Linked DNA regions of Saccharomyces cerevisiae S288C. The gene in region 3 interacts genetically with the main gene of each other region. Each region holds a gene or a part of one and is shown on either strand. Other genes may lie near its edges.

What was found.
Region 1: mutations in YGR237C (region 3) and MRI1 together harm fitness more than expected from each alone (negative genetic interaction), as found in Saccharomyces cerevisiae (one large-scale study listed by BioGRID).
Region 2: mutations in YGR237C (region 3) and MAM3 together harm fitness more than expected from each alone (negative genetic interaction), as found in Saccharomyces cerevisiae (one large-scale study listed by BioGRID).
Region 4: mutations in YGR237C (region 3) and YMR085W together harm fitness more than expected from each alone (negative genetic interaction), as found in Saccharomyces cerevisiae (one large-scale study listed by BioGRID).

The regions. Positions count from the first base shown.
Region 1 is NC_001148.4:765,757-769,730, forward strand, and holds MRI1 (S-methyl-5-thioribose-1-phosphate isomerase MRI1), read left to right. Parts: upstream 1-1,995; coding exon 1,996-3,231; downstream 3,232-3,974. Other genes in the region: HOB2 (Hob2p), read left to right, coding at 1-1,738. UniProt on the Saccharomyces cerevisiae protein: Catalyzes the interconversion of methylthioribose-1-phosphate (MTR-1-P) into methylthioribulose-1-phosphate (MTRu-1-P).
Region 2 is NC_001147.6:212,791-218,015, reverse strand, and holds MAM3 (Mam3p), read left to right. Parts: upstream 1-1,878; coding exon 1,879-3,999; downstream 4,000-5,225. Other genes in the region: glycerol-3-phosphate dehydrogenase (NAD(+)) GPD2, read right to left, coding at 1-890; ribose phosphate diphosphokinase subunit PRS5, read right to left, coding at 4,282-5,225. UniProt on the Saccharomyces cerevisiae protein: Involved in metal homeostasis and more specially in manganese sensitivity.
Region 3 is NC_001139.9:962,501-967,637, forward strand, and holds YGR237C (uncharacterized protein), read right to left. Parts: upstream 3,156-5,137; coding exon 798-3,155; downstream 1-797. Other genes in the region: SPG1 (Spg1p), read right to left, coding at 30-317; KEL2 (Kel2p), read right to left, coding at 3,539-5,137.
Region 4 is NC_001145.3:435,957-440,015, reverse strand, and holds YMR085W (uncharacterized protein), read right to left. Parts: upstream 2,526-4,059; coding exon 1,227-2,525; downstream 1-1,226. Other genes in the region: SEG1 (Seg1p), read right to left, coding at 1-808; YMR084W (putative glutamine--fructose-6-phosphate transaminase), read right to left, coding at 2,600-3,388.

The DNA.
Region 1 (3,974 bases), on a different chromosome or scaffold from region 3:
CAAAAAGGATTTAGAGGGTCCTGAAGGTAGATTTTTCCATAAAAATGGATATGGTTCCGACAAAGAGTCAGATATATGGCCCCCATGGATTCCTCTTGAAATGTGCTTTGACGGGTCTTTATTAGATAAGCATGTTTTTCTAAAACGGAGATCAATGTTTTTGACCTACGTCGCTCCCAATCCCCTATTTTTTAGTGCAAATGATACGTCTGCATTCTCTTATGATTCGAGATTTCGTATTGCATTTCCAGGATTGGTTCTGACCTCGGACTGTCAACAATACTGCGCTGTATATGCAATCGCAGAAGATTTACTTTCCTTTGGATCATCATTGGATGAAAAAGTTGAGAAACTTTCCAGGATATTATTTACTGATGAGGTCAGAAATAACCTGGAAAATCTTGATGTCTCTGTTGTCACAGCATTACAAGAAAGAATAAAGGAACTCTATTATACGCGAGCATACCTCAAACTTCACGAGCCAAGATTGTTTATGAAATCAGGACAAGAGCTAACCTTCGATATTCAAACTAGTACGTTGAAGTTGACGTTACTTATGACGGCAATCAAGAAAACTTACGACCGGATGGGGAGTGGTAATAGAGTAATACAGAAAAGATTGAGGTGGCAAGTTGGAACAGATGAATTGATATGGGAATTGTACGATGAGAGTAAAACTCCTTTCGTGACTATCGGATTGGGGCCCTCTACATTTATTCGTTCAGAAACTTCCGATGGCACTAATAGTAATAAAGTATCCATTTCTTCCTTACAATGTTTCAACCAGCAAGAAAATCCCGTTTACACTGAATTGCTGGCCCCCTTTTATGAAAATTCATCCTATAATAAGAACGCGCCAATGGTAGAAATTTTTTGGATCCTGGGGCCATCAGTTGGAGGTATTTCAGATCTGCAAGATTTGATTGTTTCTCTACAGCCATTGATTTTCAAGATGGATCACAAAACATCGGAAAAACTAATGAATTATCTATTTCCAAAGATAGAACAAACTTCCATAGAACCCAATTCTCCAGAACTTGTACCACGTTCTTCCACTAGTTCCTTCTTTTCATCGTCTCCAGTTTTACGGCACAGTCTTTCTAACGGTTCTTTATCTGTGTACGATGCGAAAGACGTTGACTCTTGGGACTTGCGTAGTATCCAGAGCAAAGAAGGTATCAAAAAGCATAAGGGTGATCATAGAAAATTGTCAGCATCACTTTTTGTGCAACCTGATTATAACATCAATGAAATGGTCAAAAGATCAGGGACATTTTTCAATGTAAAATCTATTATAATCCGAAAAACTCTAATGTCCGTGTGTTATAAGGGTTCACACAGCCTTTTGACCGATGTTAATAACCTGATTGTTAGAGTCCCTGTTTTAAAGTACCATAACAAACTGTGGTCGAGGGAAGAATTTTTTACTGCTTTGAAAAGAGACGTCGTAAGAATAGTTTTACAACATTTGGGAAATATTATTGGTAACAAATTTTTGCCTCATAAAAAAGAGAATAAGAAAAAAACTTCTATGGAAATACATCGATTACTAAGTCCAGATTCTCAAAATCGTGATAATTCACATATCCTTGAAGTCGAAGGGCATAATTCATTTTATAGCTCCACGCACTCTTCAGATATCAGATCAATAAACTCAGATGAAACGTATAATGAAAATGATGGAAATGGAGTAAAGCCATTTTACCCTGTTACGAGTGAGTTTTCAAAAAATAAATGAGGAAACACACACATGTGTCTAGCGTAAATATTCTTCAGTTATATAGTAATTGTATTATATACTAAAATGAAAATCAGTAAGATTTTTTTTTTACAGGCCTTCTTGGCGTTAGTTTTTCCGGTTTTTCACTTACTAAGATGAGATGATGGGGCGCACGGCCAAAGTATTCCCCATTCATCAATTTAGCATGCTAGAATAAAAAGATTAAGAGCAATATCTACGACCGACAAAGTGATCTATCAAACTGCTGACAAAAAATGTCGTTGGAAGCCATCGTCTTTGATAGATCGGAGCCAGAAAATGTTTCGGTAAAGGTACTTGATCAATTACTTTTACCATATACTACTAAATACGTTCCAATTCACACAATTGATGATGGGTACTCAGTCATCAAAAGTATGCAGGTGAGAGGTGCCCCGGCAATTGCAATTGTGGGTTCGTTATCTGTTTTGACTGAGGTACAATTAATAAAACACAACCCAACTTCTGATGTTGCTACGCTGTATTCTTTAGTTAACTGGGAATCTACAAAAACAGTGCTAAATAAGAGGCTAGATTTCCTTTTGAGTAGTAGACCCACAGCCGTTAATTTATCAAATTCTCTTGTAGAGATAAAGAACATACTGAAATCCTCAAGTGACCTAAAGGCTTTTGACGGTAGTTTATATAATTACGTCTGTGAATTGATAGATGAGGATTTGGCGAATAACATGAAAATGGGTGATAATGGAGCTAAGTATTTGATTGACGTGTTACAAAAGGACGGTTTCAAGGACGAATTTGCCGTTCTGACGATTTGTAATACTGGATCCTTAGCAACCTCTGGATATGGCACGGCTTTAGGTGTTATCCGTTCTTTGTGGAAGGATTCACTTGCTAAAACCGACAAGGCAGACTCGGGATTGGACAATGAAAAATGCCCGAGGATGGGCCATGTCTTCCCACTGGAAACTAGACCTTATAATCAAGGGTCAAGGCTAACAGCATACGAGCTAGTTTATGATAAGATTCCATCAACTTTAATTACTGATAGTTCCATCGCGTATAGAATTAGAACTAGTCCAATTCCAATCAAAGCAGCATTTGTTGGAGCTGATAGAATTGTTCGTAATGGGGATACAGCAAATAAAATTGGTACTTTACAACTTGCTGTAATTTGTAAGCAGTTCGGAATTAAGTTTTTTGTAGTAGCTCCCAAAACAACTATCGATAATGTAACCGAAACTGGCGATGACATTATTGTGGAAGAACGTAACCCTGAGGAATTCAAGGTTGTTACTGGTACAGTAATTAATCCTGAAAATGGTTCCTTGATATTGAATGAGTCAGGAGAGCCAATCACTGGAAAGGTCGGTATTGCCCCTCTTGAAATCAATGTCTGGAATCCAGCCTTCGACATTACTCCACATGAGCTTATTGACGGAATTATCACAGAAGAAGGTGTATTTACCAAAAATTCCAGTGGTGAATTTCAACTGGAAAGCCTTTTCTAGATATCATTCTAATTAGACTCTCGAAATAATTACTTTTGTACTGTAAAGGATAAAATTTCATATTGAGATGTAAGAATTATTTTTTTTTTTCATTCAATAAAAGGAACACATTAATGTATATTGTCAGAACCTTGTAAGTCCAAAACACTATAACCAACTGATACAATATGTATTGTCTTTGTTTCTGCATATTTGTAAAACGTGCAAAAAAGTAAAGAACTCCTCATAGGGGGCTCGAACCCCTGACATTTCGGTATCCTTGCTTAAGCAAATGCGCTTAAAAGCCGAACGCTCTACCAACTGAGCTAACAAGGATGAGTTCTTCGGAGCGTGTTGTATCTCAAAATGAGATATGTCAGTATGACAATACGTCATCCTGAACGTTCATAAAACACATATGAAACAACCTTATAACAAAACGAACAACATGAGACAAAACCCGTCCTTCCCTAGCTGAACTACCCAAAAGTATAAATGCCTGAACAATTAGTTTAGATCCGAGATTCCGCGTTTCCACCACTTAGTATGATTCATATTTTATATAGTATATAAGATAAGTAACATTCCGTGAATTAATCTGATAAACTGTTTTAACAACTGGTTACTTCCCTAAGACTGTTTATATTAGGATTGTCAAGACACTCCGGTATTACTCGAGCCCGTAATACAACAGAGCGTCCTTAATAAATATTTCTATAAATATTTGATGTTTACCTTCCGAAAAAGGTACATTGCCAACCTTA
Region 2 (5,225 bases), on a different chromosome or scaffold from region 3:
ACGACGTTCTTCAAGGCACCGGCAATGGATATACCAGCAACATCATCGATGACATTGACGTGGAAGTAAGGTCTGTGGAACAGCAATTTCAAAATCTTATGATCTACATCCTTGCCATCACCTTGATAATCCTTTGGTAGTTGGTAAGCCACGGTGGTTTCGGACCAATGCTCCTTGGCCACTTCCGGTGCCAAGTTTGCACCAGATAGTGCGCCACATTGGATTCCTAACTCATCAGTAACATAGGAGGATAGCAATTGCACACCCTTGGAGCCCAACTCGAACCCTTTTAGACACGAGATGGCCCTTACATGAGGGGCCACGTGGCCTTGCAATTGTTTGACTATGTTTGGTAAAAATTGATGAGGGATGTTGAAAACAAGGATGTCAGCACCCTTGATGGAGTGTAAAAGATCAGGATCGGCCACTAGATTATGGGGCAGGTCAATATTGGGTAGATATTTAACGTTCTGGTGTCTTGTATTTATGATATCCGTCAGATTTTCGTCGCCGATCTTTTCATCAAAAACCCACATTCTCACCTCTGGCTCGAAGATATGGGAATGCAATTCTGTGTTTTCCGCAATGACTTTGGCGATGGTGGTCCCCCAGTTACCAGAACCAATCACTGTAACCTTGAAGGGCGCACGTTTCAAATGTACAATTGACACGGCAGAGTCCGATCTTCTGATAGGATGGTCCTCATGACAGTGTTTGTGCTGTTTGATATTAGTATGAGCAGTCATCTTTGAGTGCAGTTGTGTTTGTAATAATGATCTTCTTAGGAAAGTAGATCTTGAAGGCAAAATTTTATATGCACGACGAGTATATAACACCGGATGCGTTCGCTTAAGGAATGTGTATCTTGTTAATCTTCTGACAGCAAGCATTGATAAGGAAGGGGAGCGAAGGAAAAGGAAAGGGAAAGAGAATTGAATCTACCAAAATACATAAACTTAAAAATTAATATATAAAAAAAAAATCTAAAGGAGTAGAAAGAAGAACCCAAGGATAAATCAAGGAAAAAGCTTAGTGGAAGGAAAAAAAACTAGAAAAAAAGTAACAAGAAAAAAAGGCAAGAAGAAAAAAAAGTAAAACCAAAAAAAAAAAAAAAAAATACTAGAATGACAGGGTAGAGAAGAGCTGCTGAACAATAGATTAATCGGAATAACAATGGCAATAGGTCCGTAAGCTAAACACTCTTCCCCTCAGCAACCCATCGGCACCTCGCCGCAAAAGCGTAATATAACAATGGCAGAGCCATCGTCGTCTTATTGTTTCGAGCATACTCAAACCTTCTTCATCATGTGAAGGAAAACAAACTCGGTAATGATGATGACTGAATCTTAGAAGATACACGCTTGCATGATGGCTATGGCTAGAGGCTAAGGCGATATGATGGTGATGGTGACGGTGATGGTAATTCCTTGCTCCAGTTTTTATTTTTCGCCCTCCCGAATTGCTGTCATCAACGGGTGGGGTGGGTGATGGCTCAGGATTAGCTCATCGCGCACGGTTACCTGGGGGCGGTGCCTGGGTTGAGGAAGGCGCGGGTGCTCGGATGTTCCGATAAAATAACCGGAGTTTGTAACGTACAGAGTGAGATATACCCTAGGGCATACCGTTCATTAAAGCAGGGTATTATCATAGAAACGAAGTCAGGGTTAGGGCTAGTATTTGTTTTCTTTCTTCATTCTTTTGGTTTCTTTAAATTCTAAATTAGCAAATGGGAAAAAAGGGACGACCTTGGTGATTGCACATAGGCTTTCCCCATTCGTGCTTGTTTGCTTATTACATAATAAAAAAAGAGTTGATATCGTCACAGTTACTTGCTGCTGCGTCTGTTATTTGCACGAAACTCTCCCCACTATAATAGATATGTCGTTTTTGCCACTAAGGTCTAGGTCACGATCAGGCGCTCCTCATTGGGTATACATCATCTTATATCACATCTTTACGATACCGAAGATATATTCACTGCCGTTGTTATCCGGATCACACGTACTCAATTCTAGGGATGTTGCCGATTCCGGCCATAGCGTAGGTGATGAGGCAAGCGTTACCACGTACTATATTATCTCTATCATCCTAGTGCTGCTGGGTGGTGTATTTGCAGGATTGACGCTGGGGTTGATGGGTCAAGATGAAGTCTACCTGAAGGTAATCAGCACTTCAGGCTCGAATTCTGAAAAGAAACTGGCCAAGCGGGTGCTTGACCTAATATCTAGGGGGAAGCATTGGGTTCTAGTCACACTGCTGCTTTCTAATGTTATAACCAACGAAACATTGCCTATTGTTTTGGACAGGTGTCTTGGGGGTGGTTGGCAGGCTGTAGTGTCGTCAACTATTCTAATTGTGATCTTCGGTGAAATTATTCCGCAGAGTGTCTGTGTTAAATACGGGCTGCAAGTTGGGGCATTCTTCTGCCCCTTTGTTCTTGTACTGATGTATCTGATGTACCCAGTCGCATATCCGATCGCGACTCTCCTGGACTATATGCTGGGTGAAGATCATGGTACGATGTACAAAAAATCCGGCTTAAAGACTTTGGTCACCTTGCATAGGACCATGGGGGTGGAACGGTTGACTAAAGACGAAGTTACAATCATCTCTGCTGTTTTGGATCTAAAGGCAAAGAGGGTTGAGGAAATCATGACTCCGATTGAAAACGTGTTCACAATGAGTGCCGATACCATCCTAGACGATAAAACTGTCGAAAAAATCTTCAACTCAGGGTTTTCTAGAATCCCGATTTTTTTGCCCAATGAACCAAACAACTTCATCGGCATGTTACTTGTCAGGGTGCTTATCTCCTACGATCCTGATGACTGCCTCCCAATCTCCCACTTCCCCCTAGCCACGTTGCCAGAAACTTCCCCGAACACATCTTGTTTGAATATTCTGAATTACTTCCAGGAGGGGAAAGCTCACATGTGCGTCGTTAGTAAAGAGCCGGGCTCCTCGCATGGCGCTATTGGTGTTTTAACTTTGGAGGATGTCATTGAAGAATTGATCGGTGAAGAAATCGTGGACGAGTCTGATGTCTTTGTGGACATGCATCAGCATATTATGAGACAACAACCGGGGCCCTTGAGCAAAAGGCACATTACTTCCTATTTGCATCATTTGTACACTAGCTCTCACAAGGAGCACAAAGCTGCTGACCAAGCTGATGAATCGTCTCCACTCTTGTCTCCATCCAATTCTAATCACCCATCCGAGCACCCACAGCAAGATTTGAATAATAAGTCTTGGAAGCAGAAGTCAAATGATGGTTACGACAGGTCCAACGCTGTATTGTCTCCAACTCCACAAGTGACGGAACATGGCACCATCATACCTTCAAATCTAGCGTCCAACCCGTTGAACGTAAATAAATCTTTTGTTACCATTAAAAAGCCTGCCAATGTTCCGAAAATCATTACTACACACACTCCTCATTCTAGCAAAGAGCCTTCTCCAGCACCACACTCAAATGATAAATCACTCTCCGCCGAAGAACAACAACTATTAAGTGATCATGCAGAGCTATCTCGCCAAGCTGTTCTCCATACTCAACGGTCGGGTCAACCAACTCAAGTTACTACCTCGACTAAAACCACGAGAAATAGCCCTGATAGTATATCAATTCCAAATTCTGGCGCGAATCACGGCAACGAAAATCAAAACGTTACAATCTCAACCTCTTACCAAAATACGAAGAATGGTATTGTGGAATCTGTCATCACAGTCAAAGGTGTTCCAAAAACCATCATTGGCCCCGCAAAAGATTGGGACGAATCCAAAAGTGAATATGGAAACGAGAATATCAATCAAGAGAATTCTAATCGAAGTGACGATAGAGAAAGTTCAAGTTCAAATGCAAGTTTATTTTCCAGTATTAAGAATAAATTTAAGAACGAAAACGCTAACAACAATGATCGTTCTAATTTCACCGACTCTTTGTCAAGAACTTCCAATTATGATGCCAACGGCTCCTCGTCGACCATAAAAAGATGAAGAGATTATGCCAAAAGAATTGCCCATGCATCATAATAACCATCATCACCGTTCTTATTAGTCCCAGACGCATGAAATCACAGGGGAGAGCAGCTTAAAATTTTTTCTACAGACATACAAGAAGAAATTGCAGTTTTTTTTTTTTTGTTTCTCTAACCTATAAATAAAATGTTTCAATACACATACTAAACAAAGAAAAAAAAATGTAGAGAATTTTATACGCAAAATATATAGACACTTTCCCCTATTTTTATCAATAAAAAAATGAACACATCAATGCCACTACCATCCATGCTCGAACAACATAGAAATGGATTCACCGTTATGGATTCTTCTAATTGCTTCACCGATTATGCAGGAGACATCAATAACATCCACTCTGTCCTTACCTAGGTACTGTAGTGTTCTATCTTGAGGAACCGTGTTAGAAATGATCAACTTATCTATACTACTTTGGCCGATTCTTTCTAGCGCATCACCGGAAAAAACACCGTGCGTTATTAAGGCATAAACTTTGGTAGATCCTTGATCCTTCAACAATTTCGCAGCTCTTGTAATAGTGTATGAAGTATCCACCAAGTCGTCGACTATAATACACACCTTGTTTCTAACATCGCCAACAAGCATGGTAGTTTGAACGAACTTGGACGAATTAGAAGATTGCGACGAGGTGGAAGATGTTGAAGTTGTTTTCTTCATTTCAAGGGCCGCAACCCCAGTGGCACCTGAAGAAGTAGTATTTTGGGAGGAAACCAAAGTAGTAACTAATGGCCTTGGAGATACTGGTAACGAACCACCAGAGGTTAACGTCGCATCTGGAGGGCCCTTCAATAACTGAGATCTTCTTTCTTTATGAATTAGGGCGAAGGACAATTCCAAGGCGTCTGCAATAGCCGTAGCTCTCTTTGCACCACCAGCATCTGGAGAAACGATCACAGCATCCTGATAATCTGGAATGCGATGCTGGATGTAGTTTTGTGCAATGGGTTTACAGTAGAGATTATCCACTGGAATGTCAAAAAACCCAGGGAACTGTGGATCGTGCAAATCCATTGTGATCACATGGTCAGCACCTGCAGCACTCAACAAATGAGCAATCAAAGTACCGGCTTGTACTACCCATAGCTTATAGCCTGCATTTTGAGCGTTGAACAATTCACCAGCGTCCGTGCTATTGCTTGTATTTTGTAACTTACCACCGGGAATCATAGGAATTCTTGAAAAAG
Region 3 (5,137 bases):
TAAATGCAGGGAACCAAGTACAAATTCCCTTACATGATTGAAGAGAACATCAAATACGTTACTTCATCATCATCCATCATCTCTTGTAAACTCTTACCCTTCGTCATAGCTGCTCTCTGTTCTGTACCCATAACAGACGCCTTAGTTGTGTCTACGCCGTTGATGTTGTCTAAGCTATGTGCAGGAACCGTATAGCCTCTCCTCATGTATGCGGTCGGTACCACAGCAGCGCCCACCAGCCCTAACATAATATATCTAAACTTTGGAGTTCTCACAACTCTTTGTGCCTCTGAGTATATTCCTGAATCTAACTTCATTTCAGTAAACTTTGTTTGAATTTTATGCGCTAAATATTTGTATTGATTGTATTTATTGATTCTGATCCTTCAGTAACACACATTCCAAACTATCCTGGATAATGTGAAAGAGATTTGGCAGTTCAATTTATATGAAGAAGACCCTCACGTCGCGAAGCATTTTTAACAGTGTTATCCCAGTATCCCGTAATTCTTCTCTTCATCCAATGCTGGCCATTACTCCATTTATTGGGGTGATGTAGGCTTCTTATCCCTTTTAAAGGGTACCTTATTGATCTCCCTTTTCGGTGCGGCTGATGAAATCTATAGAGCAAACCGAAGTAAAACAAAATTACGAAAAGAAATATAACATTATATCTTTATCAAAATGTATGTATGGAGGAGTAACAGCTGAAAACCCCCGTTGTGAGTGGTTTATGATTGTTTTCACGCTTATTTTGTCTTCTATATCTTTGCTGATTTTACTTGTATTAATCCGGTTCATCCGAAAACTTTTTTGAAGATCGAGCCAAATTTACTTTTTTTCTTCTTTTCAGACCTTTTAAATTGATGGTCGTTTGTTGAGGATGAGGAACTGTCCTTTTTGCTGTTGCCTGATTTGGTGCTTTCGGTAGTTTTCGTCCTTGAAACGTGGTTGTGGTGATGGTGGTGGTGATGCGCTTTTCTCTGTCCTGAAGAAGATGAAGTGGAGGATGTTCTGGGTGATAGCCCTGCGGATTTTGTTTTTCTCATTGGATGTGAAGTGAACTTCATTTTCGGATCCTCATTGTCCCATTTTAGTGCTGTCTTGATATGAGGCGTAGAGGCAGTTTCGTGGTTGTAAATGTCATCAACCATGGACTTTACTTTATAAATGCCGTTATTGTTGAATTGTATTCTTGAACTCCGCTTTGAGCTGCGCCTCGAATTTCTCGATTCTATAGGAGTTAGCTTTCGGCCAGAACTGTCGTACTTCATAAGAGTGTTATCATCCAATAGTACTTGTCTCGACGGTTTTGGTCTAACATATCCCATCTTATCGAAGAATTCCATTTCTTCCTTTTTTTCAGGTGAGATTGGGAAGTACTCATTTACAGAGGTTACTGACTCATCACTATCGCTTTCTTCATCATCCGAATCAACCACTTTATGTTTTGTGAAAGGGTTTTCCAAAGTTCTCCTGATTAATGCACTTAGCCATTGCAATCGTTCCTTTTTTCTCACTTCCGTTTTCAAATCATCGCTGTTGTCCTGTTCATCTTTATCCACTCTAGGTTTTATTAAAAGCTCAGGCTTGATGAATTCGAATGGGACAACAAATGCTGGCATTGCAAAGTGTTTCATTAAAAAAAATGGTAGTTTCACTTTTCCATTTCTAAACTTGATTTGAATGTTGGCACTAACGGTGCTGATTACTTGCAAACTTGGCCTATACAGAGAGGTCGCAGATATTATGGCTGATCTTGTTGAATTTTCTTTTACCATCTCAATACTAATCCTAACTATTTTAGTTGCCAATCTTCTCGCGTAGTAATTTAAAATATCGCTACAAGTTTGCTTAGCCTCATTATGAATAGCTTCTATTCTTATTCCCGTTGATAAAGGACTAGAGAGATCCGGGCCTATAAGGCTATGTGACGCGGTAGTCATGCTTTCACTAGTATTGCTAGTCATCCTTTCTAAGCGGTGCCTTCTTTTCTCCTTATATGCTAGAGTATCAATCTTTGCTTCAAACTCAGGAATTGTAGTAATTATGACTAAATGATCACCATTTCTTGTCAAATTTTCAACATACCAGTCCACAGATGACCAAGTATATCTCCTACCTGATATATAACACGAAACAACTCTTAAATCTACATCGTCATCTTTGTCTTTGCAATTGAGCTTTTCTTTTGTATTGGAAATATAATTTTCATAGTCTGGATGATCAATTGTCATTGAAATTGCATTGTGAACAATTGTAGGCCTTGATGGATAAATTGCTGCTAAAGGGTCCGTCACGTTGCTTGAATCCGTTTTTGACTCTGTTGTGTTCAAATAGACTGGAACTTGCTCACCAAAATCAAATTGATCTATTTTAGTCTTGTTCGATCTTCCTTTACTTATATAAAATTCCTCTAATTTGGCTAATTCTTCGTCTGTCATCCCGGCAAACGACTTGGACCTTTTCTTTGAGCTCTCCATATTTTCGCTTTCGGATAAATCTACCATTGACTTGGTCTCAATTCTATCTTCAACTTCATTAAGATTGGCAAATGCAGCTTGCGTATAGCCTTTCCTTGATCCAGAATTTTTTTGAGTGTTTCTTTCGGTCATTTTGGTCATTTTTCTTTCCAGCTCAAAATCCAAATCACCAATATCAATATCATCAATAGGGCCCTGTTCATCAGCAGCTTTTCGAGATTTTTTTAGCACGGATACTTTTGGAGGGGGAGGCAACCTCACTGAAGTCCTTCTTCTTGACCTGAACATTGGAGACTCACTTCTACTTCTTTCAACGCTGGGCGATCTCAAATAGCTTTTGGAGGGATCATGTGCTGCAGGAGAAAATACCTGAGTATAGAAGTGAGGAACTCCAGATGTTGTAGACGTTGGAGTTCCTAGTTGTAGTGGCGAAGAAGCTTCTTCGTCTTCGGGTGAGTCCAAGCTTTCGTCAGTGGCAAGGTCATTAGAGCCATGGCTACCGGTCAAAGTATTTTTGTAAACAGGATTAAATTGTGGAGGTATATGTAAAAAATGATTATTCAAGCCAACATGGTGACTGTCATTTTTAATAATGGTAGCTTGGTCATCAATTAAGGAAGGTGCCAGATCATCAAACGAGATATGCTTAGTAAATGTCTTTGCAGATGACATCTTCTATTATTTTTATTAGATATTAGCAGTTTGCCAGGGATTACAGCTTCTCCCTTATGTACAGTGCGACAATATTCTTTTTTTCAATGTGTCTTTTTATTCATTCTTCTGAACAGTTTCGCTTCGTTAAGGGTCCTTCTGGCTTTCTAGAGGCATGCTCACCTAAAATCCCCCTAGAAAAGCGGGCTCTTTACCCGGCGAATAATAATAACCGCGGCTACTAATTTTGCACCATTGAATATTAACCTCAAAAGGCTTAGTTGGCAATTATATTCTCCTTCTATTAATACTTAATGTTTACAATGTCCTTATAGGTGTTTAAATATATTTTTATATACTTTGTACATATTGACTTCCCAGTGCGTAACAACGTCTTCCAATGACTATTTTTTTTGTTCGAGAGTATATAGTTTTTTTTTTAAAGCTAGCAGTTCGTCCTTGAGGGAATCTCTATTTTCTTTCGACATATACAGTTCCGCTTTCAGATTGTTGATTTTCATTCTGTGGAACGCATCAAAATTTCCATGAGTGATGGCGCCACGCTGTTCCTGCTTGTCATCCTGTTCAGCTTGTTCAGTTTTAATTCTATCAATCTCCTTCTGTAAATCGTCGTTGTTTTTACGATATTTTTCGAGCTCGGATTGTGATAGGTGAATAGCCTTCTTTGTTAGGTCCATAGACTTCGAGCTTCCATCAGAGAGTTTTCTTAGCGCATCCAACTTGTTGTTATTGTCGAGTAAATTAGCCCGCAAAGAATCTCTTTCATCATTAAGCTTCTGAGTTTCAAGGTGCAATTTCTCTTTAGCACGCACGGTTTCGTGCATTTCATTTATTACTTTTTCTATTTTGTTCAGCGAATCTTTCTCATATATTTGATTATCTTTCTCACTTGAAGGTGGCCGTGCACTGGTAGGATAGCTTTTTAATAATTTACCCAGATAGCAGGACGATTCGTTCAAATAGGTATGAAGTTCGGGGGTTATTTTTTGCATATTATTTACAAGTATTTCGTTCTGGCGCTTCAAAACATCACATTTATTCTCAAGATCGATGATATCCCTTTTAATAGTGACATGTTCGGAGCATGTTTTAAGTCCATTATTTTGAATCGTAATTTGGTCACAGAGTTTACTTGCCTGAGATAATTTGACCATCAATAAATTTTTTAAATCATTAATTCTAGATTCTAAAAAGGTTTTCTGAATTTCTAGATTTTTAAGCCGTGCTGTTTGAAAATTTGAATCTTTTGAAGCTTCTTTTATTACCATGAGTCTCTGGACTTCCTTTTCTAATTGTGAAATATGTCTAGCAGTTTCAAGTTCCTTTTGTTGAGCTTCGAGACGTAATGTTTGTAGGTTCAGGTTTAAATCATCAAAAAGATTTTTGGGAATTCCTTTTTGACATGATGTGTCCTTATATGAAGAAGAGCCATACTCTTCTGAATCCACTGTTAGTCCTCGTAGAACAGGGAAATTTTTTTTAGATACTTTGATACCAGTTCCCGGACTTTCCTTATTGATGCTTGAATCAACTTTGGAAGATTGGGGTTTCTTTTCCTCCCTATCTGATTTTCGTTCAAATGCCTTATCATCCAAAGCGCTGGAGTAACTTCCAGCCCCTTCATCAATATCATTATAACTCAAAACTTTGCTATCAGGCAATCTTGGTGTAAGAATGTTTATTATCTCTTGATTTTCACTTTCGGTAGACTTAGAGGGTGTAAAGCCCCCGGAAAGACTATTAGAAAAACTTTCTCCTGCATGTAGTGATTCACACATTATTCCTGGGCATAGCTCATTCAAAGATGATAAATCTAAGGTATACAGTAAAGTTCCTTCGCCTTGGTCAGTTTCTGAAGTTTGTAGATCGTGAATATTTGGGCTGGCATAGTCAGTTTTGTCGCCACCCATGATAAGAAGCTTCTCATTCTTCATTAAGGTTAAAGAATGTCCAGAGCGTTCTTGAGGTATGCCCTCCTTCAT
Region 4 (4,059 bases), on a different chromosome or scaffold from region 3:
CAAGATTTCTCTCCTGAACCGCCTTTTGGCCTTTTTTTGCTTGTGTACTTGATGTATTCCCTAAAGACGAAGTCTTCTTTGGTTGAGAATGTAAAGATTCCTGCGATACTTTTTTTCTTAAAAGTGAACCATTTCTTGCATTCAAGGCACTGTGGGCAGAGTTGGAACGCCTTAGCAATTTAGAAGTATTGGCATTGCTTGGTTTTTCAACGGGGACCTCAATTGCAACCAGCCCGTTGGGCCCAGGAATATACTTTCGCGTAGTCCTCAAAGGAATAGACCCGCTAGGATTTTCAGTACGGTGTTGTCCCGTTAAAATTCCTCTGGCCTGTGGTCCGCCAAAATCCTTGAACGTACGTTGAGCCTCATCATAGCTTATTCTTTGGTGTGTTTTGGACTTTTGACGTTGTAAACCAGAACTGTTTCTGCTTTGCTGACCTCTCTGGTTAGGGAGACTCGAAGTTCTATTGTGAGACCTAGTTTTGTGCTGCGGTTCCTTCGTTAAAGGAGAATTTAATGAATCTCCCTTCCCCATTGATGACCGTTGGGTAAGGCTGTTTATTTTCCCGGGACGACCTTTACCATCGCTCCTTCTAGATTCCGATGATATACTAGAAATAGAAGACATTCTTTTGGGGGCAGAAGGTTTTCTTAAGTTTGTCATCGAAGCGGATCGATAGGTCGGCCTTTGTTCGTTATCAGATTGATTACCCTTCTTCATTAATAATTTACCGATACTTGCTGCAGCTGCCACTGCTGTCGGGTCCGCCTGTTCCATTTCTGGTGCAGTTGTTCTTCTTCTAAACATTTTTAGGAACGAACGGCTGGTGATTTGTGGAATTGGTTGGTATGGCTACGTGTTGCTGTTGTGTTTTATATGTTTTTATCCAATTTGTCGGTAAAGTAAGGGAGCACTGAAAATTTAGCGAAGAAATGAATACTTCCTTTAAGGTTATCTATCGTCCTTTTTTGCATGTTGACCCTCGCGCCACACGGCCAGCCCGCTGCCGCAGTGAGCTAAAATTGGGCCTGCTTAGCGGCGACGCGACGGGATTTTGCGGATTTACTGTTGACGTTAAAAGATGTGGCAGTGACACCAATTGCAAGAGATTACCTTGACCAATAATTAAGTTATTTGGCTATAGAGTGTGAACATCTATTCTACATACTGCCCAAAATATAAGTACTTGTTTTAATGAAATTAGAAGGAATTAAAGAACACTTTTTTATATATCCGGGGCCGACATCGCCGAGTCCCTTGGCAAATCAACTCCGATGTCTTTCTTGATCGCTAACCAGTAAGAAATTAATTGTAAAGGAATAACGTTAAGTATCCCTTGGAGACAATCTACGGTTTGGGGTACCTCGAGTGTAACAACGTTTCCTTTTTGTTTGTCTTGCTCCCATATCTTATGCCCCTTGTTACAAATGATAATCGGATTGCCCTTCCTTTCTATTATTTGGTCAATGCAAGACGCGATTTTGGGCGAAAAAGCATCCTTTGTCGCAAAGGCGATAATTGGCGGATTATCAGATGCCACAGCTAGGACTCTGTGTCCTAGCTCGTTGGTAAGAATACTTTCAGAATGCACGTAAGAAATTTCTTTCATCTTCGAGGCGCCTTCCAAAGCAGAGGCAAATTGGTAACCTCTTCCTAAAAGCAAAAATGTATCATGCTGTTTTAGTTTCTTGTCACACAATTCAATAATCAATGGTTCAAGCTCCAAAACTTCTTTTATTTGGCTTGGGACTATAGTTAAGGCTTGAATTATTTCTTTCCTCCTTTCTATTTTAGACACCAAATCTTCCGACATCCATAGGGCAATCATGACTAAAGCGATGTATTGAGAAGTATAAGACTTGGTTGTTGCAATACCTTTCTCGGGGCCTGTGTTTGTATGAACACCGCAATGTGTAAATCTTGAGATAGAGGAACCGCTGCAATTAACTACCCCGATTGTGACTGCCTCTTTTTTGATACAGTAGTTCAAAGCATTAATTGTATCAGTTGTCTCCCCACTTCGAGAAACAAATATGCAAACATCGTTCCTGAAAATGCAACAATTGCGGTCAACAAAATCCAAGGCCAATTCAACGTTTACTGGAACTTCCATTAACTCCTCAAAGATGGGACGGGCAGCTAGGCATGAATGGAAGGAGGCCTTGGATGCAATCATTATTATTCGTTTTGCTCTTCTCAATTCTGTCAACCAATTTTCTAGTCCTCCCAAAACTACTCTGTTTGTAAAGGCGTCAACTCTTCCTCTCATGACATTTTTTGTTGTTTCACACTGCTCGTATATTTCCTTTTGCATAAAATTATCGTAAGGGCCTTTTTTGATTTTGGACAACTCCAATTCTAATTTTTGAACTGTTCTAAATGAAAAGTCCTCGGAACCAATTTTAGAACAATGGATATGAAGCTCCCCATCATAGATATGGGCAATATCATTATCCTCCAAATATACTACTTTACTCACATACCGCGCTAGTGATGCACAATCGGATGACAAATAGAATTCCATGGGTCGCGGCAAGCCGTTCTCGGCTGGCGTTTCTGTGGATGAGCCATGATTGAATGTAGAAGTTGTAGAGTTTCTCAGGTATTGTGAACGAAGGGGGGTGACTTCCTTAAACAAGTGTTATATTTTACAGGTGCGGCAGCCAAGACATTACCAGAACTCTTGGTTTGAGTATTAAGCTTCAAGTAGTCTTCTTCTTGATCCAAATATTCCACCTCGACAAAGTTTACGTCCATGTCAGTTTTACCTTTAACACCAATAACTAACGGGGAACCCTTTCTTGCGGCAACCACTTCATCGGGAAAATGAGAAGAAGTGCATAGCAGACCATAAGAGCCTTCCAATTCTTTAAGTACTAAATTTGTTAATACATGGAAATCGAGGTTGTACCCGAGTTCAATGCTTGTATCATAAATGTGTTTGTACAGTTTAGGAATACATTCGGTATCAGTGTCACTTTTGAACACATAGCCCTTTGCCATCAATAAGGCTTTCAAATTAGCGAAGTTGGTAATAACCCCGTTGTGTACCACAACAAATTCATTAGATGGATCTGAGTTATGTGGATGACAATTTGCACGTCTTAGCCCTCCATGTGTTGCCCGCCTAGTATGGGCAATGCCACAATGCGAAATAAAGGGCAGGTTCTTATTAAGATTGTAAAGGTCGATTTCTTCCTTCAAACTGCTTATTTTACCGGTTTGCTTATAAATATTGAGAGACTCCAGCTCATCACCTTGGATCGAAATTCCACTGGAGTCATATTCCTTGTACTCCAATGCCTGTAACCCTTCGATTAAAGTGTCGATGATTTCTCCTCTTGTCTTCTCAATTAAAAAATTGCAATAGCCAAAAATGCCACACATTCTTCTTCTTATATTGGGTTTTTAATCTAGTTTATTGGATCATCTTTTGAAAGTCTTTTTTACAAATTCCTTTTGTTTTATAATTTAATTATAAATGTTCAAAGACGTTTCTGAATTGTAAATATAATTCAGGGGACGGCATCAGTTTGATTCCATACACTACGTGCTAGTCTAGCCCAGCATGACTAAAACGAAAAGGGGCGCCTTTAAAAATGAGGAAGAAATCCAAATCCTAATGACCTTCAAGCGCATTTTTGGGGCTGATGTTTTAGTTCGAATGTCTCCTATTGTTAAAAGAAAGACTGCCTCTTACCTGCTTTGAGAGAGGCTGATTATTAAGAACACAGGACCCTTAAATCGGCGGCTTGTGAAATTTCTCCGAATTAAAATTCTGGATGTTCAAGAAAAATATTCTCTTCGGCCCTTTTATCGTGAGAGTAATATCGAAGTGTGCAAGGAAAAATCAAAAACGTGAAAAAACTTATACGGTTAGGTTTGGGCGGCTCGATGCTTGATGGTGATAATGTCTCTCAAACGTTCTATGTGTCGACGGAAGCCAAATTTGGGCTATTTCCATTATCACTACTTGATATAGAAAAAATACTGGTACTGCTTCTTGATTTAGTGATTAATCTTTGCTCCACTATATATTTATAAACCTCATCATTATA